Linked DNA regions of Oreochromis niloticus. The protein of the gene in region 1 purifies or fractionates together with the protein of each later gene. This does not show direct contact. Links are inferred from orthologs where the notes say so. Each region holds a gene or a part of one and is shown on either strand. Other genes may lie near its edges. The genes, in order: mmp2 and col5a1.

What was found.
Region 2: the proteins of mmp2 (region 1) and col5a1 purify together in Homo sapiens (co-immunoprecipitation; 3 studies listed by BioGRID and IntAct, counting the BioPlex papers as one, with this or other methods). This does not show direct contact. The link is inferred for Oreochromis niloticus from reciprocal best matches to the Homo sapiens genes MMP2 and COL5A1.

The regions. Positions count from the first base shown.
Region 1 is NC_031965.2:30,272,761-30,289,298, forward strand, and holds the start of mmp2 (72 kDa type IV collagenase), read right to left. Parts: upstream 6,261-16,538; 5' UTR 6,109-6,260; coding exon 5,956-6,108; intron 5,760-5,955; coding exon 5,533-5,759; intron 4,768-5,532; coding exon 4,619-4,767; intron 3,961-4,618; coding exon 3,832-3,960; intron 3,064-3,831; coding exon 2,890-3,063; intron 2,188-2,889; coding exon 2,014-2,187; intron 1,214-2,013; coding exon 1,040-1,213; intron 889-1,039; coding exon 733-888; intron 613-732; coding exon 486-612; intron 1-485.
Region 2 is NC_031972.2:14,589,426-14,605,733, forward strand, and holds the start of col5a1 (collagen alpha-1(V) chain), read left to right. Parts: upstream 1-9,604; 5' UTR 9,605-10,012; coding exon 10,013-10,112; intron 10,113-16,308. UniProt on the Homo sapiens protein: Type V collagen is a member of group I collagen (fibrillar forming collagen). It is a minor connective tissue component of nearly ubiquitous distribution. Type V collagen binds to DNA, heparan sulfate, thrombospondin, heparin, and insulin.

The DNA.
Region 1 (16,538 bases):
TGACTACTTTGGTTGTCACTGCGTGAGTAGAGGGATAGCTTGTTTTCAACTCTTACTAATTGTCATATCACAAAACAACCATTTACCCACAATCTTCAAGTGGCACAAGACTGTAAAAAGAGAAACCATAATTAACAAGAAACCTCATCTCAAACTGCTCATTGTTTGCAGGGATGTGATTGTGAAATCCAGTTGGTGCAGGCTGCTTTGTTTCAGTCACGCAAGACGATACAGCCTGAAGCAGGCAATTTCGTTTTCTTTATCACTCTTCGCACAGATCACAGACAGGAAATTTAACAGGACTTTGGCAGAGCTTTCAGTGTTCACAAACTCAGCCTTTACATCGCATTTAAGACTCAAAAGAGCAACTGGGAACATTACAGCTTGCATATCTAAAACACTTTGCCTGGGCTTTAGACTTTTCTTACATTGAAGTCTTTTTTTAAAAAAAAACCATACATCAAGCTGCTAACTGAGATGATTACCTGTCTTTGAAGAAGAATGTTTCTCCTCTGATCTGTGCTACAGCATCAAAGATCACTGGCTCATTACAGATATCCATTGGAGTGACAGGACCCTGGGTTGGAGGCAAAGGCTTGTCTGTTGGCACACCTGTTGTCAGATTTACCACAATATTTATTATTTAAAGGGGTCTGCAAATGATGCACTCACAACATAATCATTTTCCCAGTCACTTATTGGTATTTGACTATATGTGGCATTTTCTCTCACCATACAACTCCTGGATGCCTTTGATGTCATCATTGGAGAGCCTGAAGTCTTTAGTAAAAGTGTAAACAGGGGCCATCAGTGCGCCGGGGTCCTGAGAGTGCTCCAAACCAAGAGCATGACCAAATTCATGGGCTGCTACCAGGAACAGGCTGTAGCCTAGAAACAAGTTAGTTTAAACAAATCTCTATTATCTTTCCACAGTAAAAAAAAAAAAAGAAAAAAAAAAGAAAAAGACAGATTCAGTGTCTTCCAATCCATTGGCTCTTGGGAAAAAATATCCCCAAATACCACTGGCAAATTCTTTTACCTTGATCAGGACAGAAACCCCATTTGCGGTCATCATCGTAACTCTTGGTGGTAGCGCACCACATTTTGCCATCACTGCGTCCAGAGGTGGTGCAAGATTCGTAAGTGTCTCCCAGGAAGGTGAAAGGGAAGACACAGGGGCTTCCATCTGCATTGCCCCCCACTGTTGACATTGCTGGTAACAGCAACAAAATGCAAAACAATAAATGCAAAATATGTACTGAATTCAGTTGCTAATTATCTTATAAATTCACTATGCAAAGTGATTTTTTTTTTCTTTCCGGAAAAGTTTGGGTTATTATGAAATGAGTGCAGATGATGTTCAGAAATAGCGGGATGAAAGCAGCTGGCACAACACACACGACATCAATAACTAATCCACTAGGCACACAACCAAAATGCACCCACCCAAATTGATTTTCTTTCAAAGAGAGATCATTTTCAGTCTGGCAAGAGTGATTTTGTGTTAAAAAAGAGAGAGAGAGAGAGAAAGAAAGAAAAGAGTAAAAAAACAACAACAACATAATTTCTTATTCGGTACAAGTTCTCACACAGGCCTCTGCAGCAAAGCCTCATCCCTAATCAAATAAAACCAGATGAAAGCACCAACGGTAGTACCTCTCCCTGTATGCCTTTCTCCCTACCCCGGTACCTCAACCCTAAAACAAGTCCTACTGACAGAATGGAAAATAGGCCCTGCTACTGCACATTAAAATACTTTTATAGCTATTCAGCCCACCACGAGCATAACCAAAAACCACAGCTGCAGAATTCCTGTAGCCCAACATATGGCAAGGCACTATGCACTGCTCATCAAAAAAAAGCACAGCTAGTGAAATATTTATTTATTTAAGTGCTGTTGCATAATGAACACCGTGACCACTATGCACACCTAAGTGGACTTCAACTTGATGTGATTATCTTTCATTTGGCTATTTATTATGTGAATAAGAGACAACACATAACACCACCTACCAGTTTCAGGGCAAAAGCCATACGTTTTGTCGCGGTCATAATCCTCAGTAGTGGCACACCAGCGGTAGCCATCATCTCTGCCCTGAGTGGTGCATCCATCATACTTCTCCCCCTGAAAGTTGAAGGGGAATTTACATGGAGCCCCTTCTGCATTTCCACCCAGGGTGAAAAGTACTGCAAATCACAAAGCAAATGAAGTTATAGATGGCCTAATAAAATTAAAAACAGTATTTGTTTTTACATTCTTCTAATTAAAAACGAAATGCAATTGCGATACAAAACCAAAAAAATTTGAATTAAGAAGATAGGTACCACTGGAACTTTTTTTTTTTAACTTCAAAACTAAAGCTTAACAAAATAGAAGACTCCAGTATAAACAGGCCTTACTTGTGTTTTTTCACATAAAATGACTTTGAACGTGTATTTTGGCAGTTAGTTGTAATAGCGTCTGATCATGTTAGTACCATGGACAGCAACATAACAGAGATAAACAAAATGTTTGACAAAGCCTCATGTTGTAAAGTGGGTCAGTAACTTGGAGAAGAAATGTTCCATAATTCACTCTAAAACCCCCCCAAAACAAAACAAAAAAAAAAAAGCATTTTCCTGGCCAACCTACTTTCTTCATGTTCAAAATCAACAGAACAGCTTTGAGTATAGCTATGATGTGATATTAAGTATTACTTTACTAGTACTGAAAGACTAATTAAATGTTTTGTCTGGTTCAATAAGATCCAAGTAGGGCATATCACTCCATCTAAGGTCATGTGGGGCCACAAAAGTTTCAAAAGCAAAACGTGCAAACAGACATCGCAGCTGCATGTCAAACATACAGTATATGTTTTAACAATAAAGGGACCCACTGGGTAAGCTTACATTCATGAGGGCAGAAGCCATATTTGCCATCTTCGTCAAAGTTGTAAGTGGTGGAACACCATAGGAAACCGTCATCACGACCCTGAGGTGTGCAGCTGTTGTACTCAGTGCCCATGAACAGGAAAGGGAATTTACAAAACTCGCCATCAGCATTGCCAAATTTTGCCTTCACCACTGTAAAACAAAGAATGCATACATAGATACATACTTATGTATAGAAAGAGGTGAAGCTATATGAATATTCACTCTATGGTGCTTGATTTCATATGATGCTTTCTCAATTTACTATGAAACTTTGTAGCATTAATTTCACACATGTTTAGAAGGTAATTTTTGTAATAAGCAAGCTAACCAATAACATAGCAAGCTTCTCCTGGAAGTTAAAGCAAATGTTGTTGTCTAGAATTTGGAAAGCAGTTTCAAAGTAGGCTTTGAAAAATGTCCAACAAAACTGTATAATGCAGGGTACAAATGATTTGTATGTAACAGTATGAACAACAAACACATATTGAGAAAATAAAAGTTCATCCAAGAGATCCTCATCTGTTCATCTGTTTGAAACTAGCACCAAGAGAAATGGAAAGTAGGTTTATAGATTATTTTCACACAAATTAAATATCCAGACATAAGGATGTTAAAAAAGGGGAAGTATTTGGGAGTAAAACTATCTGGGTCAATGGATGCGAATACAAATGTGTGCAATAGAGATTTTTTTAAATTTAGCTTCCAGATGTCTGTAGTTTGAAATGATGTCAGGTGCCAGAAAAAGATGCTTGGAAAAGAGTATCTGAAAGTTATATTAGTTTCTACAATGTCAAATTCTCACCAGACAAAATTTTAAATGAACTTGTCTAAGCAAAAAATGAAGAACTAAATAAATGAAGAAATCGACACTGGTGGTTTTGCTGCATGCACTTTTTGTAACTAGCATTCTTTCATTACCTTGCCCCTCTCCAAGTGTCCACTGCTCATCATCATCAAAGTGAGAGTCTCCACCAATTCCTGGGCCTGGAGCAAAGGCATGAGCCAGGAGACCATCCTTGCCATCAAAGGGGTAACCATCTCCATGCTCTATTGATGACATCATTAACCAATCAAAACAGGTATACTGACTACTTAAGACATGATGTGACATTTGTTCATGTATGCAAAGATTTCTGTTTCTGAAGCAACAATTCCATGTCTTCTTCAGCGGCCGATTTTCGGTTGCGTTCCCCTGTAATTACTAGATTCTTTCTGAATACAGTCAGCTGTGACCAGACAGAATGTGGGTAAATATCAAGTGGTTATTTTAGCTGGAATGTTTGGAATGACTTGGGTTAATACCATAATCCCCACTGCCTTTAGAGAATTCCTAAAATACAGGATGGCTGGGGTGTAGAGTCACTTTGAAAAGAATGTTACTTTAAAAAGATGTATGTTTTTGCTCCTTCAGCATTAGTCTAGAACTCGTGAGCTTCTGTTTAAATATTGACTTGTGCTAATTATTATAGGAACATTCTTAGAATTTTATCCTGCAGCACAATCTCTTTATTCTATTACAAAGATGTGGCAGATCCAATAAAAGGAGTATTTTGAGGGCTTACAATATGCGTATTACTATAAAACAAACTGATACATTTCTTTATTAATTGTGATCCTCGTAAACCCACCTGAGTACAGATGTACAATAGTTTTCAAATAACAAATGGAATATCTACATAGCGTGATGTTTATACACATAGTATACCATTGCGGCCAAAATTAATCATGATGTCAGCTTCTCCATCCATGATGCGGGTGAAAGTGAGTGGCGTGACATCACTCCATACTTTGAAGGCCCTGAAGAAAGCATCATTTATGACTTCTTCATCCAGATCGGGAGTGTAACCCAGGATTCTACAAATTGAGTAGAACAAGACAAACAAGCATGATTTAGATTGTCCAATCAGGACAATCTGTGAGTGTTGCAAATTCTCCTTTCTTTACTGAACATCATGGAAAATAAAGAGGCCAATATGAGTAATCTGTAAAAGCGCCTCCTGAAACAATGTTCAGCCGCAAACCCATTTGTATGCCTGTCTACACAGTCCTTTTCCTGAAAACAGTCTAAGATCTCATAGTTGTTATTGTCTTTGGCTTCCAGTCTTTCTTATAAACACACAGGCAGAGAGGCTGGAATGATCAGAACACGCAAAACCGCTGATATAAATAAACTACATCCACATCATAGTAAACCTCAAACAGAATGAAAACAAAGGACCTGACACATACTGTGTAGGAATGTTGGTGTTAGCGAGACATAAAGATGCAAGCACTTCAGACTGTGGGGATGGGGGTAGTGTGGAATGGAGGTTGTGGAGAGGGTGGGGCCGGTTTTAGAGGGTCAGACAGGGGCAAATATTTCTCAGTATCAACAACTTTGATTTATGGGCAATTGTTAAAGCAACAGATTTTTAAAAAAGTGCTGTGCAGTAAATGGTTCCCTAAAGTGCAGCATGCCAAGTAACTCAAAAACTATTAGATCACACCCAGTGGTAATGCCATAACCATTTTGCAGGCCAAGCTGATTAAAACCTCCGCAATTGTTTGAGAACTAATTTGGAGTCACAGTGGATTGGCACTCACTCCCATTATCATGTGTGTTATTGTTAATTCTCTGACCTGTAGGTGACGTCCTTGTTCTGCCATTTGGGTTTTCTGTGGAAGAAGTTATAATTGGCCACATCTGGGACACCGCAGCGGGGTTTTTTCATGATCTCTACAGTTTTGGAATCAATCTCTCCAGTTTCTTGCAGAGAAAAAAACTTTTGCATTTTCTTCAGGGTATCCTTGAGAACCATAAGATTACATCTGTCTTGTGGGCATCCATAAAACTTGTTTAGATAATGCTAAAGTTTGGATAAAAACATAAAATAATAGGTTAGCGTTGTTAGGGTATCTTTATATAAAATTAGAACAATAAGAAATAAATAATGTGAAAACTACTCCTGTTCATTTCTGGTACTCCAGGGGTAAAAACAGTTCATTGCTGCCTGACCTACTTAGACATATTCTGAGGAAGGAAAAAAAGAAAAAGAAACTTACCAAAGCAACTTCTTTGTCTGTTCTGGGGGTATCGTCTCCGGGAAACCTGATAATAGGAGAAGGACGAGCATTTACTGTTTGGAACGCGATGAACTGAAGCAAAAACAATTTGAGAAGACTCCGACGACAACTGAATATCGTCGGAAAGCCCATTTTCTCGGGTTAACAGTATATCTTGTGCGGTAAGTGCCGTTCGCTCTGAGTTGCAGTCCTTTCAGCCCGTCAGCTTGTGTTGCTTCTGCTCCTCAGCAGGATTTTTTTTTTCTCCTTAACGGGACATCCTGCACCTCGGGTCTGCAAACTTTCTTAGTTCTGCTTGCACATGCACTTTTCCCCCGACGCCTTCTGCGCAGTCTCCAGGTTGGGAAAGAAATGGGGACGAACCAGCAAATCAAATGCTGAATGATTCATCGACTACAGTTCTTAGTCACCCGCTTTTACCAGAAAACGTCTACAAATAAATAAAAATGTTCTTTTTTTATTGTTTCCTTATCTTTTTTTTTTTAAAGAGTAGGATAATCATCTAGTGGAGAAATTAACCAATTTTGGGCTCTCGCCCAAGCTGACCAATTAAACCAATGAAAACCTTCCGCTTTTTAAGTGTGTATTTCTTAAATTAATATGTGCAGATTCCAAGATAAACTATAACCTGCATGACAAGAGGTTTCAGCACATTGTTTGACTTTTTTGTTTGTTTGGGGATGATCTTTATCATTTTTCTTTCCAAACTTAAAATCACCTATTTGTTTACTAAATTACGTTCTGTCAACCAATTCAGCCAATAACTTTATAATTGGTAGAAGTGGGCGGTACTCATATATTTTATCCGCCTCTAGCTCGACTTTTTTGGTACTTTTTTGCACTGCTCACTGCTGTCTGAGAGCACCACCACACCCCCCTTCTAACTTTCTGACTTCCAGCGACCGATTTTCTTTTCTATCCCTATTCATGAATTTCTAAATAACCACTCGCGTTGCGGTGGGTAGAGGGAGCGGGGGGGATCATTATACCGGATTAATTTGGAATTCACTGACGCAAAGCAGCTCTACGCTTCCGTACAAAGCTGCTGAGCGTCACCACACAATATATTACCTTGCCAGGAGAGAAAAACAGCGACACCCGATTGCAGAAAGGCCAGAAGTTATTGAAAGTGGTAGATTGACATCTGCTGGTAGGATGCGAAACTGGCCTCAATATTTGGAAGCTAAAAAGAGACCATATATGTATTCTACCCATGAAAACTAATAAGGAAAAAAACAAAAACAAAGGATGAGTGTGTGTGTGTGTGTGTGTGTGTTCGCGTGGGGGGCGATGTTCGCTAACGCTTACTTATCCTAGTATACATGTTATAGAAAATAAACACACAGTAAAATATGATAAATAAATATATTGCTGTTTACCATGAGTTGACTTTAAACCTCATCAGACATTTTACTTAACGACAGCAATCTGCAAATGAAAGATGTAGATATATATAATAGAACGCCTTGTAAATATACTATTCTTGGACTGTGCCTGGTCATAAGATTTGTAATATCATATATATATGTATATAAAAGGTTTACAAAATATTTTTGTGCAGTGGAAAATGTATCGTATAGAATCTTTCTTATGTAGTTTGGTGTATAACGCTTCGCTTCCCAAAGCACTGTAATGTACTATAATTTACACTAAGTGAACTAACCTACTTTAACTATTGAATAGTTACAGTGGTGATTGGTGCCCTCTAGTGGCTCACATATAACAAGTACCTGGTCTGTTTTGTGGCCCTTGGAGCCAGTGTTCTTTCCTGATTTGTAATCTACAGCACAGATTTAGGATTTACTCTAACTCTCTTTGACATCTCTTTGTTTCCGCTCTCATACTGGATTACTCTGAACAGCATATGAGAGCAGACTCTTTAATAGAGAGAGCTGAAGGACTTTTTTTGCAAAGAGATCTGACAGATGGATAGCTCACAAACAGGATTTTGTGGTATATCTAGCAAAGCAATTTCCCTTCCCTTTAGCCAGAGTACAGTTAATTTTTCATAGCCGGGGCTGCTGTTGGTGGTTGCAGAGTGAATTTAACATCCATTTGCCAACAATATCCAGGACCTGTCACTTTGGAGCAGGAGCTTTATTTCATGCACTGATACATGCTGCCATCTCCTCTAACTGACACACTGGCAGTGATCTCTCACAGAGCCGGGGAACAGAATGGCTACCTATTAAATGTACATGGGCCTGCCTCTCCAAATAGAAAATGCTGGTATGTGAAAAGTTGAGCCACAGCTACAGTAATTGAATGCCTTTGTGCATATGAATGCAATTTTGTCGGCAAAAGTGGCATAAAGAGATGGAGATGATAAGGTTTGATTTGCATGTAAATTGTTTTTCTCTCTCCCTCATTCTCTGCTGGATGCTTAAGCCTTTTCTAGATTTAAGCACCGCACATGTGTGTTTTGATGAAATGCAGTTGTTTTTATTTAAAGTGGGTATCTTGTTGCAGTTGATTGCAAGTGCATCTGTCCCATTTGTATTTGTTTGTGGCTGAGACAACTGATTTAACCATAATCACATTGGTAGGGCTTGCTTTACACTAACACAGATGATTTGTACTTCATTGTTTATATATACATGTGTGTCATTATATGTCATATATGTGTGTGTGTGTGTTTTCTCTCTTTCTAGCAATCTAATGCAAAAACGCAATATGCTTGTGCTGGTCCTACACCATACAAACTCATGCAATTAATTATGAGGATGAGCAGCCTTCTCCAACGTGCCAGTGAGGCCTCCTCTTGCTTCTGGGAATGGGACACTCTGGACATGAAGGCCAGTCAAATCATGGCTCTCCAGCTGGCTTTGGATCTTCAGCCCCACTGATTGACCCCCGTCCAGCTGAACAGACCGCAGACCTGGATGTCACCCTGGTCCTCTGGCTCTTGCAAGGACCCAGACAGATTCTCTGATGGGTCATCAAACCAAACTGCCTGTATGGCTGGCTAGCACCAAGGTCATGAATGACAAATATCACAGTCCCACTGCTCTCCTCTCACTCTAACTCAGAGCCACTCAAAGTGTTTGAGCGAGTTGTAATGTTCAGTACTTTTTGGTCTGGACTTGAATGCGTGGTGTGTAGTTAATAATGACACTGAGTGGTTTAGAATCAGTCCATTGGCATTGTTTGTTTTATGTGTTTTGCAGGGGTAATTAAGAAATGGTTGCTGAGTAAATGAAAACAGCAGTAGCCCTGTCAATAAATCTGTTTCAAGATAACTTAATTTGGCTAAGCGCTGTGTTACAGAATACTGCGACACATATCACTTGGTTTGAAACATTCTGATGATGAATTATTGAGCATAAATCCATTATCTTGAACATATTTTATTTATGAAAGCACCAAGACACTGGAGGACTTTAACACTGCGGGGTAATTATTGTTCCACATTGTGTCACCGCTCTTCTCTCAGATGCAACTGCCAGCGCAAACTGCAATGAATCAAAGAATTGCGACTTTTGATTGGCATTTTGTGTGTGCACAAGGCCCAAAGCGACATTAGCTGAATTGCTTTATTTAATGCTTTCTCCCTCATTCTGTCTCTCTTTTAGCACGCCTTGTAAACACTGATGCAATAATGCATTCCATTATACAGCGGAGAGGAGATGAGTGTCTCGCGTGGCTCTTCTCCATCTGAATAATAGGTCAACAGCTGTATTTAAAAAATTAATCACATTCTTGGCAGTTGCAAAGGTTAGCCGAGATGCAATATTGGAAGCTCAGATCAGCAGCAAATCTCTGCGGAGATGAGGAAGAGTTGCCTTTGATGAGTACAGCATGTAAATGATTTGTGTGTGTTTATGGGACACGGGGCTGGCCCTGCCTCACTCCAAGACAGCAGCGTCTGCACCACTCTGTGGCAGAAACTGGCAACAGCAGATGGAAACAAGCAAGTGAAGAGATGGCTGACCGTGCCACAACATTTCACAATTTGTTCTCTGTTTTACAGCAGAAAAGCTATCTCTCTACCTCTGTAGCTTAGTATCTATATGTTAACAAGTACATATAAATGATGTCTATCTGTAGTATATATAAAAGTTTAGGTTATAAGTTTCAAATAACAAACCTTAGACCAACTAAACAGCTTGTTGTTAATCCAGTTTCTTGGTCTTGACCTTGATCCAGTGTGATTTTTTTAAGAAATTCAAATATTGATGCCTCGCCTACATCAAAGACAAATTACTCTCAAAGATATCGTGAGGTACAAGGACATGCATATGAAATATAAATGTCTACCTTGGATTGCTTTTAGTTATTCTAAAATATTCACCGTGGTATTTTGGAGCGCCATGCCGATTGCTTGTTGTGCGCAGGCTGACATTTGGGGATGAATTTTTCAGTAAGGATCTGATTTGGCCGTCACAGTAAATGGATAGCCTTGAAAAGTCAGGAACATTGCTACCTGGATTGTTGGATGAAAATGAAATAGTGCATGATGCAAGTAACTGAAAGGAGTGTTGAAATGCTGCCATCTGTCTGGTGCTCTTGACAGTTCTGAGAGCTGTGCGGCACATTAGCTATTATGTAGTTTGCAAATGTCAGGTTTGGAAGCTTCTGCCTCTCTTAACATATAAATTAGTAAACGCTTTAGACAATTATAACTTTACCACAGGATTCCAGCCTCCAGAAACCATTTACCTGTAAATATTTCTGCCTATAATTTGAGTTCATAGATGAACACCACTTTTTATGCAAATAGTGATTTTTTTCTTTCCCTTGGAGTATAATTAGGAATGGAAAAAAACAATCCTATGTTAAGTAATTGTCCATTAGAACAAAATGAAAATAGTGTTTCCAAAACAACATCGCCCCTTTGGGAAATCAATTACTTCCTTTAACTCATTAAAGAAAGAATGCCATGAGGCCTGGCAACATCTTTCCTGGTTTCTGAGCATCTTTTTAGTGTATTGAATTGTCACACTGTATCATTAATTGCCAAAGAAGAACAGATTCGGTTTAATATTTTGTTTTATTGGGGAAATTTGACAGGAAAGTTGACAGGCCTTTATTTCAAGAAAGTGCAGTATGCTCTGGTAAGCAGCTTTAATCTAATTAGATGGCACACACAAAAACAGACTGTGTGAATTTAATTTGATGTGTATCTTGCAGCATGCTTCAACAACTGGACTTGATTTAACTTTGTTTTTTTTTTTGCTTTTTGTTTCTCCAAATTCAGTCATCAGTCACATGTAAAGTTGAAATAAATCCGAACAGTTAACTCACCAAACCTGCTTCCTGGAAGATAAGCATAATTCCTTTAAAGCTCAGTGGGTCATACATTATTATTGTTTGGCTGTACCATCGCAAATTCCAGACAAAACTGAATTTCCTTTTCTGTGTCAATAACAAACCCAATGTCACCTCTGAAGTCGGGGGGTGCGTGATTTGATAAAGGTTTTTTTTGTGCTTTTCCAGTTTGACCTCTCTCACCTTGTTAGGAAGAAAAGGTTGAAGTACTCTTTTCCCCTCTGGCAAGTACAAAAAAAGCTGAGTATCCTGTATGAACACAGTTTAACAAACACAGCTTTTTAATTCCTGGTTTTAAAAAGGGTATTAGGTGCATGCACTTTTGACAGATATTTGTAGATGTAGATGGTCAATACGTTCATTTTTAAAAGGCAAAAGATGTTGAAAGCCTGAGAGTTTTCTGTTATAAGGTGAGTCGGTTTCTGATGTTATCCTTGACATAATTTTGATTTATTATGAGTATTGCAAAAGGCCTTTGCTTTTCTATCCTGACATTAAGATTCCATATCTATCAACAGGGATGGCTTGTTTTACCATAAGGCCAGAGTGTAGCATGTATTGCATGAAAACAGCTTTGTTCTGAGATGTAGCTGTAGACTTGGGTGGATGTATGAGTCAGTGTTCCACCCGTGGAAGTCATGCCTCCTTCTATTGCTGCTACCTGTGATCTGAGTCACTTTTAGGACTGCGTCTGCAACCCACAGCCCCCCTGTGTTTTAACTACTGGATAGCATGCAAAGCACCATGTTTGTAGGATATTGAGAAAGACCTTTGACAGGAAGTGGAGCCCCACTGACCATTGGGGATCTGTGACCGTGGTTCTCTAAACTGGCATATCACATTTCTGTCTACATCCTCTTAAACAACAAACTCAGTAGTGTAATAACTAAATCTCAACAGGCAGTTTATTTATTTATTTTTTAACAACAACAACAAATTAGCAGCAGAAATCCAGTAATTCCTCAGTATATCCTGAGTGCATTGTGTTTGCAGCAATGAAATGTAAGCACAAATTAATCAGTGCAAACCAGAAAGATGGCTTACAATCAATTTATATAATACTCCCACATAAAAGATTTTTATTACAGGGAATCTTGGTAGGAGTTTGGCCTATAAAGAAATTAACTTTGTCTCTATGCTAAGTATACCAATGCATCAAGCCATTATCTCCGTGATAGATGAATCTTATTTGATATTACACAAGACAAATGTATTCATATGGCATATTTTTCTAATTTTTTCTGTCTGACCATCTGTGTGTGTTACATCTTACCGAGATTAATCTGCTGATCCTAGTGTGATAGAGGGCAGGTGGGTTTTTTTCTTTTTTCTTTTTTTCCCCTAATGCACAATAGTAAGCAAGAGCTGATACATACATACATACATACATACATACATATATAAAAAACACCCAGCACGCCCCTACGGGCGGTTTATCCTTCAAGCTCGGGTCCTCTACCAGAGGCCTGGGAGCTTGAGGGTCCTGTGCAGTATCTTAGCTGTTCCCAGGACTGCACTCTTCTGGACAGAGATCTCCGATGTTGTTCCCGGGATCTGCTGGAGCCACTCGCCTAGCTTGGGAGTCACCGCACCTAGTGCTCCGATTACCACGGGGACCACCGTTACCTTCACCCTCCACATCCTCTCGAGCTCTTCTCTGAGCCCTTGGTATTTCTCCAGCTTCTCGTGTTCCTTCTTCCTGATATTGCTGTCATTCGGAACTGCTACATCGATCACTACGGCCGTCTTCTTCTGTTTGTCTACCACCACTATGTCCGGTTGGTTAGCCACCACCATTTTGTCCGTCTGCATCTGGAAGTCCCACAGGATCTTAGCTCGGTCATTCTCCATCACCCTTGGGGGCATCTCCCATTTTGACCTTGGGACTTCCAGGTTATACTCGGCACAGATGTTCCTGTACACTATGCAGGCCACTTGGTTATGGCGCTCCATGTATGCCTTGCCTGCTAGCATCTTGCACCCTGCTGTTATGTGCTGGATTGTCTCTGGGGCATCTTTACACAGCCTGCACCTGGGGTCTTGCCTGGTGTGATAGACCCCAGCCTCTATGGATCTTGTACTCAGAGCTTGTTCTTGTGCTGCCATGATTAGTGCCTCTGTGCTGTCTTTCAGTCCAGCTTTGTCCAGCCACTGGTAGGATTTCTGGATATCAGCCACCTCCTCTATCTGCCGGTGGTACATACCGTGCAGGGGCCTGTCCTTCCATGATGGTTCCTCGCCTTCCTCCTCTTTCTTGGGTTTCTGCTGCCTGAGATATTCACTGAGCACGCTGTCAGTTGGGGCCATCTTCGTGATGTATTCATGGATGTTTCTTGTCTCATCCTGGACTGTGGTGCTGACACTCACCAGTCCCCGGCCCCCTTCCTTCCGCTTAGCGTACAGCCTCAGGGTGCTGGACTTGGGGTGAAACCCTCCATGCATGGTAAGGAGCTTTCTTGTCTTTATGTCAGTGGCTTCTATCTCCTCCTTTGGCCAGCCTATTACCCCAGCAGGGTACCTGATCACGGGCAGGGCGTAGGTGTTGATGGCCCGGATCTTGTTCTTACCGTTCAGCTGACTCCTCAGGACTTGCCTGACCCTCTGCAGGTACTTGGTGGTTGCAGCTTTCCTAGCGGCCTCTTCATGGTTCCCATTCGCTTGCGGGATCCCCAGGTACTTGTAACTGTCCTCTATGTCTGCAATGTTGCCTTCTGGTAGTTCAATCCCTTCAGTTCTGACTACCTTCCCTCTCTTTGTTACCATCCGACTACACTTCTCCAGTCCGAACGACATTCCAATGTCATTGCTGTATAGCCTGGTAGTGTGTATCAGTGAATCGATGTCTCGTTCACTCTTGGCATACAGCTTGATGTCATCCATGTACAGGAGGTGGCTGACAACCGCTCCGTTTCGTAGTCGGTATCCGTAGCCAGTCTTGTTAATGATCTCACTGAGGGGGTTAAGGCCTATGCAGAACAGCAGTGGGGACAGAGCATCTCCTTGGTAGATCCCGCACTTGATGGTGACTTGTGCTATGGGCTTGGAGTTGGCCTCTAGTGTTGTACGCCACATCCCCATTGAGTTCCTGATGAAGGCTCTTAGGGTTCTGTTGATCTTATATAGTTCTAGGCATTCCAGTATCCAGCTGTGGGGCATTGAGTCATAGGCCTTCTTGTAATCAATCCAGGCTGTGCACAGGTTGGTCAGTCTGGTCTTGCAGTCTCGGCTGACTGTTCTGTCTACCAGTAGCTGGTGTTTTGCGCCTCTGGTATTCTTGCCAATCCCTTTCTGTGTCCTGCTCATGTATTGACCCATGTGCCTGTTCATCTTAGCCAATATGATGCCTGACAGGAGCTTCCATGTAGTACTGAGGCAGGTTATTGGTCGGTAGTTGGATGGGACCGGTTCCTTCTTGGGGTCCTTGGGGATCAGGACCGTCCGACCTTCGGTTAGCCATTCCGGGTGTCTCTCGTTAACTAGCAGCTGGTTCATTTGTGCTGCCAGACGTTCGTGGAGTGCAGTCAGCTTCTTCAGCCAGTAGGCATGAACCATGTCGGGCCCTGGTGCTGTCCAACTCTTCATACTGGAGACCCTTTCTTGGATATCTGCCACTGTGATGGTTACTGGACCCTGTTCAGGGAGGTTGCTGTGGTCTGCCCTCAGATCCACTAGCCACTGAGCATTGCCGTTATGGGTTGCGTCCTTCTCCCATATGCTCTTCCAGTATTGCTCCGTCTCCAGCCTTGGTGGTGCTGTTCTCTTATTGTTCCCTTGCCACTGAGAGTACACCTTTGCTGGTTCTGTGGAGAACAGCTGGTTTATTCTCCTGCCTTCTATCTCTCTGGTGTACCTCCTCAAGCGGCTGGCCAAGGCTGTGAGTCTTTGCTTGGCAGTTTCCAAGGCCTCAGGTACGGACAGCTTGCAGCTTGCTAACAAGCTGATCTACACTACGGCAGTGATCAGTGAGATGCTTGGCTACAATATATATATATACATATATATATATATATATATATATATATATATATATATATATATATATATATGAACATAATCCACAACATTATATATTACACATTATATTTCTGATATTTGCAATTTCTTAGAGACAGTAATTTTCACATCGGGCCATATGAGGGAGACCTTATTTCACTTCTCTGTATTTCATTTGTTCATGTCAATATGAGCATTTAGAATACGCAAAAATGGATAGACTGTGACCAGAAAGGTGATGTGTCAATATCAGTGCAATATGAATTAGTACTTTCTGTTCTTGGATCACTATACTACAGTTTTCCTTGATTCCTTTGATGCAATTCTCACATCATGAATGTCACTCTAATCACTCTTGCAGTAGTCAGAATACTCAAAACAGTTAAGGCAAATTTCCTAACAAAAGCTCCCAAAAAAGACTTAAGTGCAAAAGTCTTTATTCACATATGTCAAAACACTCAAAGTCAGTCAATCACTTGAACTCTGAACCAATGAATAAAAACCTTTTAACCACCGTTTTAAGACTTTGACACCAAGTGGTTATAAGCGTTTATCAAAACCTTTCTCATTTTGGAAAGAGAACTGAAAAATGTAGGCCTAATGTAGGGTAAAACATGGACAGATGCAAAAATGAAATATTATTTGAAAGATTAAAAAATTGCTTGAATCGAGAAAAGGCCAATGATACATGTGAAACTGCAGCACAAAACAGACAAAGCCACTCCGCTGGGGATCGCTCCTGTCAGCTAAGAACAGGAAACTGAGACCACAATTCATACAGAAAAGCAAAATGATACATGTGTAACTTTGTGATGCTATCTCCTTTTTCTTTCAGCTGCTCCCTTTAGGTGTCGCTACAGCGCATCAGCCTCCATCTCACCCTATCCCTAACTCTTCTGTCACACCAACGCTCTTCTTGTCTTCCATCACTACGTCTGTGAACTTTTTCTGTAGTCTTGCTCTTTTCCCCCTGGCAGCTCCATCTTCAACATCCTTTGTACAACATCCCTCCTCTGCACATATCCAAACCATCTCAGCCTTGTCTCTGTAACTTTGTCTTCAAACTGCTCAACCTGAGCTGTCACTCTGATATGATTTCTAGTGCTTTTCTAATTTCTGATGCTATCCCTCCTGGTCACTCTTAGTGACAATCTAAGCAGCTTTAGTTCTGTCTTCTCCAGCTTGGCCTTTTGTCTTTTTGTGAATGTGAAGGTCTCACTACTTTCACTCTTCCTGCTGTCCTTGTATTGCAAATGACCCCTGGTACTATCAGAAAACGGAGAACAAAAAGAAAAAATAAC
Region 2 (16,308 bases), on another chromosome or scaffold:
AAATTATTGTCTTTGCTTGAAATGACTATAAAGCTCCGGGATGCAGGTTTGATGTATATGTAAGTCAGCTTGCACAAAGTTCTTGATGAATGAAATGTGTTTGTTTATGGGGAACTTGAGGAGCTAGCTAACATGGAGCTGAAATTTTTTTTAAACAAACTTAACCTTAAGAATATCGATATATCTAAATATCTCAAAAATATCTTTATTATGTCAAGGGGGCAAAGGGCAACGATAGCTCAGTAGCTAGAGTGGTCACCCCATGATTGGAAGGTCGGGGGTTTGAATCCACTGAACGGCTACCCTGAGGTACCCCTAAGCAAGGTACCGTCCCTACACACTGCTACCCGTGTGCTGGATTGGCTGCCCAATGCTTTACTACAGTGAATGGGTTAAATGCACAGAGTACTTTCCGTCTGCATACATATTATATCTTCCATATTTAGAAGTGACTTTCTATACTTTCCTTCCTTCCCAAGCGATCAAGACATGTTTTAGTGACGCACATAACTGTAATGTCAGCAAAAACATCAAACCTTGTGTTTGTCCCTTCATATTCAGTAATCTTAAACATCCCACTAGCCATTGGGTTTTCACAGTGGCCACCATTTTTCAAGTTAGACATCATTTCTGATAAAACTAATATTTTACCTCATAATTTCAACTGCCGGATCAATTTCAGAGGTGTAACACTTGACTTCCAGGTTTGACAATGGAGAAGTAAAATTTACAAGTTGCAATTGGGCTTCTTTTTTGTCTTTGACTAATTTAAATGATTGATAATGATATATATATATCGTTAGCTTGATAGCATAATTGCCCAAGTCATTTTTTTGTGTTTTCGGAAAACAAGAAAAAACTAATTTTCTAAATATCACATGCATATTTTTAATTGATATTTTCACAGAACATTTAAGTATATGTGAGGAAAAGTATGGAAAAAGAACAAAACCCAACATCATTTCTTTTGTCTAATAAAAGTGACTTAGGCAGATTATGCCTATGACTTAGGCAGTTTTTCTTCAAACTATAAAATGAACATGACATACTATAATGTAACCATAACACACTGTAACTTTTCAATTTTAATCACAAAATGGCAGCTAGAGTAAGGAGACTTACTCACTTCACCTCACCCACCCATTAATTTGCAGAGGAGGCCTGTAGGCTCATAAAAGAGGTGTGCGTGTGTCTATGTGTGTTTGTATCTGTCTGTGTGTGTTTGTCTCTCACTTCTCTCTCTTTCTCTTCGTGTGCGGGTGTGTGTGTGTGCGTGTGTGTGTGTGTGTGTGTGTGTGTGTGTGTGTGTGTGTGCGTGCGTGTGTGTGTGTGTACTATTTGGTAGGCTATGTATACTACTGATGAGGAAGATCATCATAGTACTTGTGGGCCACTCTTGGTAGTACATTTTTCATTGACTGTAAGTCACTGTATTTCCTCAGGGTGATGGGCAACTGAGCAGGAAAGAGTGGGATCCACTTGAATGGCTTGTTGTCGGGTATGCTGATGCGCCGAGGCAGGTCTTCCCAGTCAGATTCAAAATCCAGCTTGTACCTGATCCGTCCATCAGTCAAGTACTGCAAAGCCCGGAGGTCATGGACTGTGGGGTCCCCAACTTTTTTGCCGGGTCGAATATTGGTGACATAGGTGCCAGATAACTTCATGAAGTCATTGTGGTATAGTTGAGTCACCCTGTATGGGGATGGATTAATGCGTGCAGCCTCAAAGATGACAACGTAATCTCGTGGAGTGTAAACGTCTTGCACAATGCGCCGTTCAATTAGACTGTGCATGGAGTCACACTCCATCTGTGTGTGGCCTGCAACTAGAAATTTCTGCTCAATGCTGACACCATGCTTCATGGCCAGGTAAAGGTAGGCGTTGCTGATGGTAGCACACCGGTTCTGATACCCGCAGCCATCACTCCAGACAATGACTTTCTCAATGTTTCTGTTGGCCTGTAGGACAGACTCAAAGTGGTTGGACTGCAGATGTGCAAAAACCTCACTGCTGAGGGAGCCTTCATGTTCTTCCCAAGCATAACAGTACCCATCTCTGTTGTTCATGTTGAAGCAGGTAAAGTTGTGCATCTGTAATTTAGTTTTGTAGTACATTGTACTTGCTTTTGTCTGGGGGCAAAGAAGAACGCGTTGAAGGTCCATTGTCCACACTGAAAGTGTGTCACTGGATTCATTTTTGTCTGCAGCCTTTTCAGCTTGAGCCTGACTCTTCAATCTCAAGTGTGTAGCAAGAGCATCCTCATCTGTATTTCCTACCTTGGCGCTTACACAGATGTCACATTGGTCTTTTTTTGGAATGAACACAGAGTAATCCTGCTCTCCAAAAACCTTCCGAAAGTATGTCTCACTCACAGCACGCTTTCCATTCTCATTGGCAGCATTCTGGTATTCCTTGTGAAGCTCTCTCAAAACTGTTCCTGGCTCCAGGAACTTCTTGTTCTGATAAGAGGGAACCTGGCGGCAGTAATGGGATGGGACTGTAGGTATTCCAGAGAGCCACTCTTTCAGGAAGGCCTGGTCTCCATCTGATATTGGCATATGAGGACCAGTCTTGTTGATCTTGGGGTTGGGCTGGGTATGAGTGTTGGGTTTCATGCCTGCAGTTAACCATGATCCAATGGTTCTCAGGGCAATACCAAGTGTGGAACAGAAAAGATTTTTGCACACAGGTATTTTGCATCTATCTGAGAGTTGCAGGTGGTATAGCAGAGATGTTGTTCTCCTTGAATCAACACCACCTTTCTTCTGTTTTATGGGCACATTTTCAACAACAGTCTGGATATACACCTTGCGTGTCTCCCAGGAAGGCATGGACCAGAAATTGTTGAAGATTCCTCTTCTCTCAACTTCAGTCAGTAGCTCACAACTTCTTGTCGTTGACTTGAAGCAGTGCTGTGATGTGCATGGTGGGCCCATGGCCTTTGGTGGTCTCTCCTGTCCCATTGTATTCTTGTAATTCTCTCCCTTCAGACGCTTTTCTTTGATGACATTTTTCTTCCACGTATGGGGCAGTGGACGCTTGTGACGAACAGCAGAAGAGCTGGGGGTTGGACTGGCTTCCTCTTCCTCTGCTTCCACCTCCCCTCCTTCCTCTTCCTCCCCTTCATCTTCGTCTCCTTCCCCTTTCTTTTCCTCTCCTTCATCTTCCTCTCCTTCTCCTTCCTTTTCCTCTCCTTCCCCTTCCTTTTCTTCTCCTTCATCTTCCTCTCCTTCCCCTTTCTTTTCCTCTCCTTCATCTTCCTCTCCTTCCTCTGGCTGCTTATCAGTCTGTTGCCCCATATCAACATAATTTCCTCCTTCTCCCTCATCTATATCCACCAACTCCTCTAAGTTCACATCAACTTCCTTTCCTGATGATACAACAGAAAATAAAATGCTGTTGGAGTATCTTAAAATGGTAAATCAAGATGACATCTAAATCTACTTGTGTAGTCAAAATGTCTGCTATGTAAAAAAAAAAAAAATCAATTTGTACTATTAATATCAAATCAAATCAATTTATTTTTGTATAGCCCAAAATCACAACAACAGTCGCCTCAAAGGGCTACATGAATATTACTGGCAATAGAGTTCAACCAGTATCAGTCATTTGAACACAGTCAATATAAAGTCCAATTTAACAATTAACAATGAACCCAGGGCGTCCCCCGTCCTTAGACTCCCCTCCTAATAAAAAGCAAATGTTTGAAACATAATATAATTTGCAAACTTGCTGAAAATGCTCAAATTGCCTTTGAAATTGCCAAAGATTTACTCTGGTAGCATGCTGCTGTTAGCTAGCTGCTAGCTTGTACTACATTACTATGCTAATGCTACACTACTAACGCTAATGTTAGCTAGCCATCATACTTTGTTTGCAACAAAAAAGTAATCTTTTAACATGGTCATAACCTCTTTGATTGAATGAAAATACATTTAGTGACCAAAAAACTAAAAAAATATGAACTTTTACCAGATGTAAATGAATCAAAAAGAAGAGCAAGGGCTTCACTTGCGGTCAACCTCTTCTTCTTATCAGCCATTTTGCATACATCAAAACTGCCTAAGTCAAATTGATTGTAGCAAAACTGCCTAAGTCCAATGGTAAAACTGCCTAAGTCAAATGAATGACTTAGGCAAGTATGTTTTTTGACTCTTATGAGTGTTGTGATTGGCCAATGACATAGGCAGACGGACAGGATGATGCAGCAGTGGTAGGGGAGTAAAGTTAGGCAAAAATCTCAATTTGACCAGAAAATGACTTAGGCACTTATGCTATGAAGCTAACGATATATATATATATATATATATACAACTCCCAGCGCGCCCCTGCGGGCGGTTTATCCTTCAAGCTCGGGTCCTCTACCAGAGGCCTGGGAGCTTGAGGGTCCTGCGCAGTATCTTAGCTGTTCCTAGGAATGCGCTCTTCTGGACAGAGATCTCCGATGTTGTTCCCGGGATCTGCTGGAGCCACTCGCCTAGCTTGGGAGTCACCGCACCTAGTGCTCCGATTACCACGGGGATCACCGTTACCTTCACCCTCCACATCCTCTTGAGCTCTTCTCTGAGCCCTTGGTATTTCTCCAGCTTCTCGTGTTCCTTCTTCCTGATATTGCTGTCATTCGGAACCGCTACATCTATCACTACAGCCGTCTTCTTCTGTTTGTCTACCACCACTATGTCCGTTTGGTTAGCCACCACCATTTTGTCCGTCTGCATCTGGAAGTCCCACAGGATCTTAGCTCGGTCATTCTCCATCACCCTTGGGGGCATCTCCCATTTTGACCTTGGGACTTCCAGGTTATACTCGGCACAGATGTTCCTGTACACTATGCCGGCCACTTGGTTATGGCGTTCCATGTATGCCTTGCCTGCTAGCATCTTGCACCCTGCTGTTATGTGCTGGATTGTCTCTGGGGCATCGTTACACAGCCTGCACCTGGGGTCTTGCCTGGTGTGATAGACCCCAGCCTCTATGGATCTTGTGCTCAGAGCTTGTTCTTGTGCTGCCATGATTAGTGCCTCTGTGCTGTCTTTCAGTCCAGCTTTGTCCAGCCACTGGTAGGATTTCTGGATATCAGCCACCTCCTCTATCTGCCGGTGGTACATACCGTGCAGGGGCCTGTCCTTCCATGATGGTTCCTCGCCTTCCTCCTCTTTCTTGGGTTTCTGCTGCCTGAGGTATTCACTGAGCACACTGTCAGTTGGGGCCATCTTCGTGATGTATTCGTGGATGTTTCTTGTCTCATCCTGGACTGTGGTGCTGACACTCACCAGTCCCCGGCCCCCTTCCTTCCGCTTAGCGTACAGCCTCAGGGTGCTGGACTTGGGGTGAAACCCTCCATGCATGGTAAGGAGCTTTCTTGTCTTTATGTCAGTGGCTTCTATCTCCTCCTTTGGCCAGCCTATTACCCCAGCAGGGTACCTGATCACGGGCAGGGCGTAGGTGTTGATGGCCCGGATCTTGCTCTTACCGTTCAGCTGACTCCTCAGGACTTGCCTGACCCTCTGCAGGTACTTGGTGGTTGCAGCTTTCCTAGCGGTCTCTTCATGGTTCCCATTCGCTTGCGGGATCCCCAGGTACTTGTAACTGTCCTCTATGTCTGCAATGTTGCCTTCTGGTAGTTCAATCCCCTCAGTTCTGACTACCTTCCCTCTCTTTGTTACCATCCGACTACACTTCTCCAGTCCGAATGACATTCCAATGTCATTGCTGTATAGCCTGGTAGTGTGTATCAGTGAATCGATGTCTCGTTCACTCTTGGCATACAGCTTGATGTCATCCATGTACAGGAGGTGGCTGACAACCGCTCCGTTCCGTAGTCGGTATCCGTAGCCAGTCTTGTTAATGATGTACGCCACATCCCCATTGAGTTCCTGATGAAGGCTCTTAGGGTCCTGTTGATCTTGTACAATTCTAGGCATTCCAGTATCCAGCTGTGGGGCATTGAGTCATAGGCCTTCTTGTAATCAATCTAGGCTGTGCAAAATGTATATATACGTATACATGTATATATATACATGTATGTATGTATGTATATATATATATATATAGCTTTACTATTCGGTAAAAAATTATGTGAAAGCAAGAACAAATATTTTTTTAAAAAGCCACTAAACAAACTAGTTGAAAGGCTTTCTTACAACTTTTCCATCCATTCATTCATCCCAATCTCCTTACCCAGTTCAAGGTTGCGTACACACAGATTTTCTATGAAATAAATGGGGACAAGACTTAGGTCATATTGCTTTATTAAAACTAATATGCAATTTCATTAAAACGGCTTACAGTAGGAACAATCAAAGAACAAATTTGCTCCTATATTTCGTAGTGACATTTGTCATGAAAAGACAAAAAGAAAAGAAAAGAGAAGAAAGTCACTTTGGCCCACCAATAGCACTACCAATTTCAGAATTGGTAGTGCTATTTTTTTCCCCCCAAATAGTTGAATTGCCTTTAGGCGGAGGCATCATGCTATATGTATTTCAGCTGCACCGATAATTATCACTGTAAAACTGTGAAGGTGATTTATGGGTATATTCTAAAATTCAATGTTTTTTTTCTGTTTCAAATGTACTTAGCTGTAATAGAAATGTAAACATATCATTCCCGCACACCTTAGATAGAGATTACTGCTTAGGGTTAAGGTTGCGGTCAGGTTGGGCACCATAAAACGTGACTGGTTAGAAGCACTAAACACATCAGTCTGGAATCAGACTTTACTTCCCTCGCAATCTACTTTTGTGACTAGTGTATTCTAATGTTTACCCTTCTTGGAGCCATAGTACAATCAACGCCAACCCGCTGAGAAAAAGCACAAATTACACGCAATTTGCTGCAATCAGGTGTTAACAGTTTAAAGGCTCGTGTCAGTGTGTCAGTCGGCCCGCTGTCATACGCAGTTTTAAGTGCTTAGCTCTGACCTAAGTAATCCTACTTTTTAACCTCCAAACTTAAATCCTTTTTAATGACATTTAATTAAAGGTCAAATCAATGTGTGCCAGTCAAATTCCATATATATTTATGGGCCCACCTGGCAGGTACTGTAACTAATCTCAACATGTGACTGCAGTTTATGCAGTGCATGCTTTGATTTAGTGCTATATAAATCTTTACTTTGCTAATATTATAACTTGGCTAAGCTTGAGCCAGCGAACAGCTGGTGCACTCTGCTCATAGTATATGTTTACTGAGGAAACTGTCAAGCAAGGATGTGGAATTTCTCAGCTACTTTTCTTTTTTTCAGCCACAGTCTCACCATCCTTAGGTGTCACTAACAGCAGACAAGAATTAAAAAAGAGAGCAAAAGCTGGATGATAATAGTAATAATAATATTAATAGTAATAGAATGCCTGACAGACTGTCAGACTGTCATAGCTTGCCTGATATTTGGTGTGTGTGTGGAAAACAAAGTGTGGAGAAACTGATAGAAACACTTGAGTAGTAAATCATAATTTCCTGTTTCAGACACTATATGCTATCTTACGTCTCACAGGGACTGTGTTTTTTTTTAGCAAATGATGAAAGTCAAACTCAAATGAAAGTTAACCAGCAGTGTGCCGGCATCAGCGTATCAACATCCTTTTGGTTAGAAGGCAAATTAAGTAAGCACGTGACGGCCTTGTTCACGAGTAGTTTGGAGTCTCTGAGATTAACACAGTGTGGGCAAGTGTGGTGTGGGCACGAACCCACCCTAAATATAGGGCTCGGGCCATAATTTGACCCATGTTACCACGTAACGGTTACAGTATATGGGTAAGCGGTCAGTTTAGAAATACTACTTTATACTTAATGTAAATTTCTACCCTGCTTTTGAGAACAAGCTTTTCGTTTCAAACAACAGAGGGGAAAAAATGAATGTCTTTAAAACCAAGGAGTTTTTCCATGTGGCCAAAGAGGTCACCTGAGGATCTGAGAGAGCCCATCTGAGAGACTTTCAAAGGTGCTGAACTAATTTAACAAGCTTAACAGCCTTCAAGTAAAGCTGTTACTCTTAAAAATCCTACAGCGTGTAACATAAAACACCTCTTAGTCTGAATTTAGAGGACTAAAGTTAGAGGGACCACGTTCAGACTCATCCTTTCCTATCCTATCCCACTTCACAATGTGACATCATGTCACGGTTTCCAATGTTGCTGCTTGTTTACTTTGCTTAAAACCAACTTTTACTGGGCAATTAATAGAAGTCTGCCCCCCACTGGAGGAGGCATGTGACAGCTTATAAAAGACAGCTGCCATTTTTGGCAGTTCTTGAAACAACAGAAAGTTTGAATCTCATGCCACATTCAGCTCTAAAAAAAGTGTTATTGGTGACTATATGGCACTAAGTGTTGTTTTCTTGTGTGTTGCATTGTTTGTTGTCTCTCTATCCTCATCTTTTCCATTTCCCTTTTCCCCCCCTTCAAACCAGCTTTGCGGCACATGGCCACCCTCCCTGAGCCTGGTCCTCCTGGAGATGTTTCTCTTTTTAACCCTCAGCTTTTATTTTTATCCCTTTCACTGCCATATAAATTCTTATCATTGATCACCACCCACCTCTGCTCCTCTAGATTAGGGTTGTCAAACATAAGCAAAAACTCTATTCGAGCCCACTGGATGGCTTTGGAAATTTAGGAAAATTGGGTATTTTTAAATGTATTTTCACAAGCTTTACAGCTTTTCCTGCTGATAAGGCCGTTCATACAACACCAAAGCAATTAAGCAATAGATTTCTGTGTTTTACACATTTACTTCTTACAATTCAAGCCCAAAGAGTCATGCTGAGAGATTTCTTTAATTTACTACAGAGGCATTACTTTGCCACACAGAGAGAGTGGGACATACTGTTGAATTTGAGCTTCTTTTTCTCATATTGAGATCTTGCATTGATTAAATGTGTAGTTACATTTCTCTACACTGACATAAAGGGTAGTTTCACTGGTCTGACCCGCATAAGATCAAAGTGGGCTGTATGTGGGAATGATATTAAATGAATTCACGTCTCTGCTCTAGATAAAGAAACCACATAAAAGGTGGAAATTCTTTTACATATTTACTTTTATTGACTGTTAAACATTAAAGTTTGTGGTACTAATGAAAAAACTTCAGAGGGTAATAAAATCTGCAAGCACATTATTTCATCATATATTCAACAGGTTTAAAGCCCGTAGATCACCGATTAACATAAAAAAAGATATGAGCTTTGAGTGGATTATTCCTTAGAGTAAATATCTGATTCATTTAAAAGGGAGAACATTACAAATAGATGTATATCTTCACTATATATCTGATCATCTAGCCTCAGTATACTGTTATATCATATGGTTGAACTAGCACTGGGGGTCCACCTGTGGATTGTACAGCACGATTTTTCTCGCAGTCCCATGGCAGTCAGCTCCAGATAAATCAGCTCTTGCAGATAAAACATCTCGCCTTCCCACCTATAAAAAAGCAGTTTTGCTTTTCCCGCTCTGAACCACGTCTCTGGAAATAGCGGACTCCATGTAAAAGAATTCCGAGCGCAAGAGCTGGAGGCGTGAAACTTTCACCTCAACTTTTCCTCCCACCCTCGGCCAATAACAGGGCTGGCCCTAATATACAGGCTCCTCTGATTTGCCCGAGTCTCCTGTCCGCAAAGTGAGTGACAGCCTGGGGGGGAAGACTTTTTCCCTCTTCTGTGCGAGTGTGTGTGTGTGTTGCCCTGTTGACTTGAAGGGGCTCTACGTGACGACTGAAAGAGAGGGGCCAGCACTTCAGATCGGAGGCGCAGCGGTGCAGGACAGTTCAGAAGCGCAGAGAGGAGAGGAGTACGGGAGAGACGGTGGCCGTCCGTCAACCAGCTGGGGGAAAACTCACACTAACAAACCCTTATGGCTGCTTGAGAAATAACGACATACCCCCCTCCCCCTTTTTTTTCTCTGGGACTTTTTTTGGCTTTTAGTTTTTTTTTTAATTGTCCTGACCAGAAGTTTTTGCAAGTCTAATTAGCTGTTGAAAAAGTGAATCCACTTTGCCGTGGACGTCTCTGGCGGTCATGGATACCCATATAAGATGGAAAGTTAAACGGAGGATAAGGGACGTCCAAATCACTTTATCCGTGATTCTCCTTTTTATCACGTCGCAAGCAAGTTCAGGTGAGATGCAGCTGTGTGGGGTTTTTTCCCTTTCTTTTTTCTTTCTTTTTTTGTGGATGCACTTTGGAGGAGCCTTGCACTGAAAAGTTTTTTGCCTTTTCGCTCATAGTGGACCACAGATGTCTGCCCCTCCTCTTTAATGTATTCAGCTTGGTGGTGTGCCCCGAAACTATGGGAAGTTGTCAAAAAGAATTAAAAGACTGCTTTTGGAGGTTTCATCTGCAAGTTGTGCATAGGTTTTTTTGTTGTTGTTGTTTTTGCCAAAGCAGTATAGCTGAAGTGCATTTATTCATTTGAATGCATTAAAAATAGGAAATATATGCATTAATTAGTAACCATCATAAGTAACTAGTTTTTTTTTTTTTGGCATACTTATTATGTAGGAGTAATTGCTGTGGTGCATCTTAAAGTCTAAATACTCTTTTACCATTGCTTCTTTTCAGCAGATGAGAAGGATGGGTATAATTTTCATAAGAAGGAGGGGCTGAAGGTCCTCTGAAGTGGTAGGGTGGAGCCGCCTTAAGGACTCCACATCAGGGGACAGCGCTGGGGCCCTGCACTGAGGCTCAAGCAAACACATCTTTCACTAAATGCATTCTATAAATTCTCCCGATGTTTCTCAGTGACAGTTATATGAGTCTAATCCGAAAACATGAATAAATAATAGTTTGGTATGCCAGTTAGAGGCCCGCTTATTTTAATTGGAGAAGTGACCACCTCTTCGTCTCAGTGGTGAGAGGGCATGCATTGGGTTTATGTTTGGCCTATATGTATTATTAGCGCCTTAAGACTGCCTGGCATGGGTGACGGGCTGCTGTGTGCTGTGAAGGTCTGACACAGGACATTGAGATGAACAGATGGCTTCTTCTGTCTGCTCAGGGCAGTTAAAAAGCTTCCATGATTGTGCTGATGGGGTAAATTTGTTGTGATGCCTGATTACAGACGATTATGGAGTTCAAAATGCACTCCAGTTTAGAAAGTAAGCCATGATAATAACATATGAAGTTGAAGTGGTTTTATAGGCTCATATTGTTGAATATACACTAAGAAATCTACTGCAAAGTGTTTATTTTCGTGTTTCCTATAAACACTGGTTGTTAACTGGACAAAACTTTGGTCACTGTATGCTGGCTGGACTGAAATCTGGGTCATTTTTGATGACTGAGGAGGAGTTGAATTTTTGGTGGGACATTAAAGAGCATGGGCCTGAGGTCATTTTGATGCTGGTGGCTGGATTTAATCATCTCTTGAAACTGACAGAGAGGAACGAGAGTTTTGTAAGAAATCCCTAAGGGTTCTGGTACATTTTCCGAAACTTGACACATGCCAGACAGGAAGCACTTCATGACTGATTGCAAGAAACATGCCGACTCCATGAAAGCTTTTTTTTGTGAACTAATTATTCTGTCCATCAGTTGTTTTTTTTGTTTTTTTAGATTTTACCAATCATTATTTTAAAGTAGTTGCTTTCAATTAAACACTGTGCAATGCAAAAATATTAAATCCAGTTTTGCTATTAATACATTTTTTTTTGCTTAATGACTTTTCTAGACCTTTTACAATCAGATAAGACAAATGGTCTACAAATAATTACTGACAATTAGCAAGTTTATCACAAGTGAAAGCTTATCGCTGACCTAAGCCTCATCACCTCTTAGCCTGAGGGAGGACCAAAATGCATCAAGCTGAAGACTAGTAGAGACCTGCCCAGGCATACAATACTACTTGTTTTAGGGCTTGTCAGCTATGTTTAAATTAAAAACAAAAAAATTAAGTATGCTTTTTTTTTGTTTTTTTTTGTTTAACACTGAAATCAAAAAGGGCAGTTGAGCAAATACCATTTACTAAAGAATTGATGTTGTATTCATGTTTTATCACCAGCTATTTAGGTATTAGTATGATGCTAATTCCACAATGGTTTTTGTTTTGAATACAATACCCAGTCAAGATCATAGCCTAAAAAATTTCTTATCAAATCATATATATGTTCATAAATCTATAACAAATGTATTTCCTATAACTAAAATGCATATAGAGCTCAATAAAAAGACAAGCAAACAATACAGCAAGGCCTAACCTATTAGCAGTTAGCATATTCTTTACACAATGGGTTACTTACCCATGAAATATAACTACATTTTAACTACATTTGATTCAGAGCCTATTTCACTGTGAACTGTTGGCATGTGATACTTTTTGAAAGACAGAAATGAGTTAATAAACAAATACTATAAAGCCACGATCTGTAAACGAAAGCGGTTTGGAAAATGATGCTAAAATAGCCTGCTATGTGGAGCTAAGCTAATTTGTTGCAGCTTTATTACAGTCTCTCTTAAAGTATAAAAGACTGCTGTTTTGCAGGCTTAATGCTGTGTGTCTGCTGTTAAATGTGGCTTAGCTTATTTGGTGCTGAATTATATGAAATAAGCTCCTGACTCATTAGTTTATAAAGACAAATGCAGAAATATGTATTGAATTTATAAGTTATATACTTGTATCACAGTGTATATATTTTAATATTTTGCGGTCAGTTTGTCTTTCAGTAGACTGAAGTTTAGAAAGACCTGGTCTTGGTATTAGAGAGGAAAAACTCAGTTTAAGCTATGTGAAAAGCGGTAATAACAGAAGGCCCTGGACAAGAATGAGAAGAGGGGTCAGAGTTCAAAGGTGAAGGTCAGGACTGCTGTCAGGTTTACAGTTTCACTGCCTGAAGAGAGGCATTCTTTATAGTGTAGCTCCTCTCATCTTTGTTTCCCATAATTCTTCTCTGTCTCTTGGAGGCAGCAGGGTAAGATGTGTGCTTTTCAAAGAACCTTTGCAACAGTTTGAAGTTCCCGAGCCAATATAAACCCTGAAATGCAGAATTCAAATTAGGATTGATTGATATGTAATGTGTAGTCTCTACTTTTTAGCTTACTGATGTTTTCAGATGTCTGTGGGACACAGTATAACTGCTATAGACGAAATCTAGCTTAATTTACAAATGGTTTCCTTTGTGTTTCTGCTGACTTGCATTTTTTTAATCTGGTCTCCTCAATCAATGGACTCTTTTCACAAGTATTAGATAATCTGCTTTGACTCTTTTTTCTTTGGTTTGTTGTTGTTTAATTAAGCAAAGTTTTTTTGGATCGCCCTTGTTAATAACAGACATTTAAACCAGATCAGATCCTACTTGTCGAGTGTATTTTAGTCATCAAAAATGCTGAAATAACATTCTTTGAATACCTTGTGCAAATGAAAACATGAATGGGTTTTGGCCAAAGTCACCAAGGGCATTGAAAATATTGGAAGAAAAGGCTGATCACAAAATATGGTAGTGACTTGAGAAATACACTATATAGTAAGAACTGATATTTGTTGATTCTCTACATACGTTTTAAAGAAATATAGAGAAGAAGGCTTCGCTGTTTCTCTGAGCTCCTTCCCATCTGGACTTGATAAGTTCCATTGTGCTGTCTGCTAAGCCCTTCAAAAAGCCAGAAAAAATGGCTTCCAGATGTTTTCTTCCCATTCTATGTGGAACAGGGGACCATGAAAAAAAATACTGCTGCATTTTTTTTCAAGTGAAAATACATTCTGTGCTAGTTTTAGAGAAGATTTCTAATCAAATAACATCTGCAGTCTTAGAGCAGATTTGATAAAAAATAATGATGCTACGCCTTGCATTTCAGCAAGCTCTGCACATACACATTGAGGGCCCTTAAAAGCTTCTTTCTGTTTAAGCAACCCAGGTTTATGGCAGGGTTAAAGGTCGACTACAGCTGGTCCACAGCTGTTTTTTATTTATAGTCTCATATCTAGACAACTCGTTTTCAAAAGGAATTTATGTGGCTTACTTCGTTTTTGCCTTTTTTTCTTCCATATACCCTTCTTCATGAGCCCAGTAAGAAAAAATCATAGAAGATACTGTGACCGGAGAGATTTTAACCACTTGCTAATTGGTAATTGCATATCAGTTTATATAAATTAAAGGCAACGATGCCAATGTTTCATTTACAACATTGGGTTTTAACCTTACGAAAGCTTGTTCAGGAGGGATTTTCAGATCTATGTTACCATCACCCATCTGCCTTAGCTTCAATCTTCCAGTGAGAATGTAACTGTAATTTTGCTCTGAATTTCTGAAGGGCTTTTCTTACTTACCTTGAAGTGGCAATCCTGAGGTCATGTCAAACTCAATCAGATAAATGGCGATGAGAAAAAGTGGCTTCTTGTGTGTGCCTATTGCCATGGCGCTGAGGAAGGAATCCGAGTTAGCTGTTCTGTGGGGAGAAGCAGTGACCCTGCAACTGCATGTGCCACTTCAGCCCTGTAAATACAGGCTTTGTGGAAACGACTCTGTAAATCAGCCCTAATGCCTGATAATAGCATGGAAGATAAAACAAAATATGCAGGACAAGTTTTTGACCCCGTGTCAGAGTTAAGGAGATCCTTTGTGCTGCACAAATAGTTCATTATTTGCCATATCTTGGACAGTATATCGTCTAGTCCTTTCCAGACTAATTAAGGTTCAAATAATTGTTTTGAACCGCTCAATGGTCCTCTGTACTCATGACACAGTGTGCTTGATTTGAAGCCAGTGGCACATTTTTCTCCAAATTAGCTTATTGCTAAAAGCACACAGACATAGATGGATCATTCCAGCTCCAAATGCAAGCAAACGAGGACGATGTGTTCCTTACACTCTCAGAGACAAATGGAACCAAATGGAGACAGTGGTGTTGGAAATGTCAACATGACCCTACGAGTGATGTAAAAGTTGGATGCTCTACCTAATGATGCAACCCCCCGCGCCTGTTTTTGATTTCAACCCTATGCTTTGTTGCAGCATGTAGTGCATGGCAGAGTGAAAAGTGAATTCTGGTCCAGGCTCACAAGCCGAGTATTCACTTTAGCTGGGAAACAGTGCTTCTCTCTGTAATGGGGTATTATAACCATTGAGCATGGAAAGCAATGTATGACTCATCCTTTCCAACCCCATTCCCCCTTCCCCAGCCCGAGCTAAGCCACAGCCTGGGCAGCAGAAATACTGAGTGTAAGCATTTTTTTCCTACTAGGGGGAAATACAATGGCTTTTTGGTCACTCTAGAAACTTTACTGTAGCCCCATGTACTCTTTAATTTATTGGTTGACAAATTTAGAAGGAATTGAAATAATAACACAGTAAAAAGTAAGGTTTTGCTTATTTAGCAGTGTTTTGTCATGAAACCATCCTCAATGAACTTACAAGGGAGCAACAAGGGAACAAGCTTGAGTTTCACTCATTTGCAGAAGCAAGCTGAATGAAGGCTAAAGGTCCCGGAAAGGAAACCCTGTTTCTTATTATCTGCCCAGTTGCAAAATGGTGACAATATAAGAGGAAAATGTTCACTGTCAAAACATCTTGCAACAAAATAGCGTAATTTAAAACACGATAAAACTTTTACCCGTATTTAGGGAGTGACTATCGTCCCCATTAGATATTGAAAAGCTAAAAGTTGAGACAAAAAGGGTTTTGGTTGCACAGATATGCTAACCAAAACCGCAATCTTTCCCTATCCTAGGCCAAAACTCTTTTTTGTTATGCAAACTCAACCACAAGTTGTACTCAGAATACAAACTATGGCCTGTGGCATTGATGTCATGTACTCTGTTTGCATGAAAAACCCAGAAAATGTTTCCAATGAAAGTAAAAAAACAACAAAAAATTGTGTAATTTAGAGTCTTGAGTTACAGTTTTGTGAACAGACTCATGATAAGAAGCAATTTCATACAGTGATGCTCTAAATGAAGTTAGGAGCTAGTGCAGGACCTCCAGAGTCTAGATGCTAGTGGTGATAATGTAGAATTAGTAAAAGGCTCCCTGGACGAGATGGTGATGTGTAGGGAAAGGAGGGCTGTATTTTAGGAGGAAGGCAGAATGCTTAAAAAGTAAAGGCTACTTCAAGAACAGGAAGTGATTGATTTTCAGAACACAGATAGAAAGGATTGCCAGACAGGCACAGTTATGTCAAAATTGTTAAAGAAGTGAGTTTGACAAAGAAAGCGAAAATGATGAAAAATAGAGCAACAGAACGGGACTACAGCAACACTCTGACACACAGAGGAACAAAAGCAAACTGTCAGGGAACAGATCTTCCTCAGTGAAATTAACCTGAAGGATCATTTCTTCTAGACTTCAAGACTGTGCATCTTATCATAGTTAGAAGCTGATTTT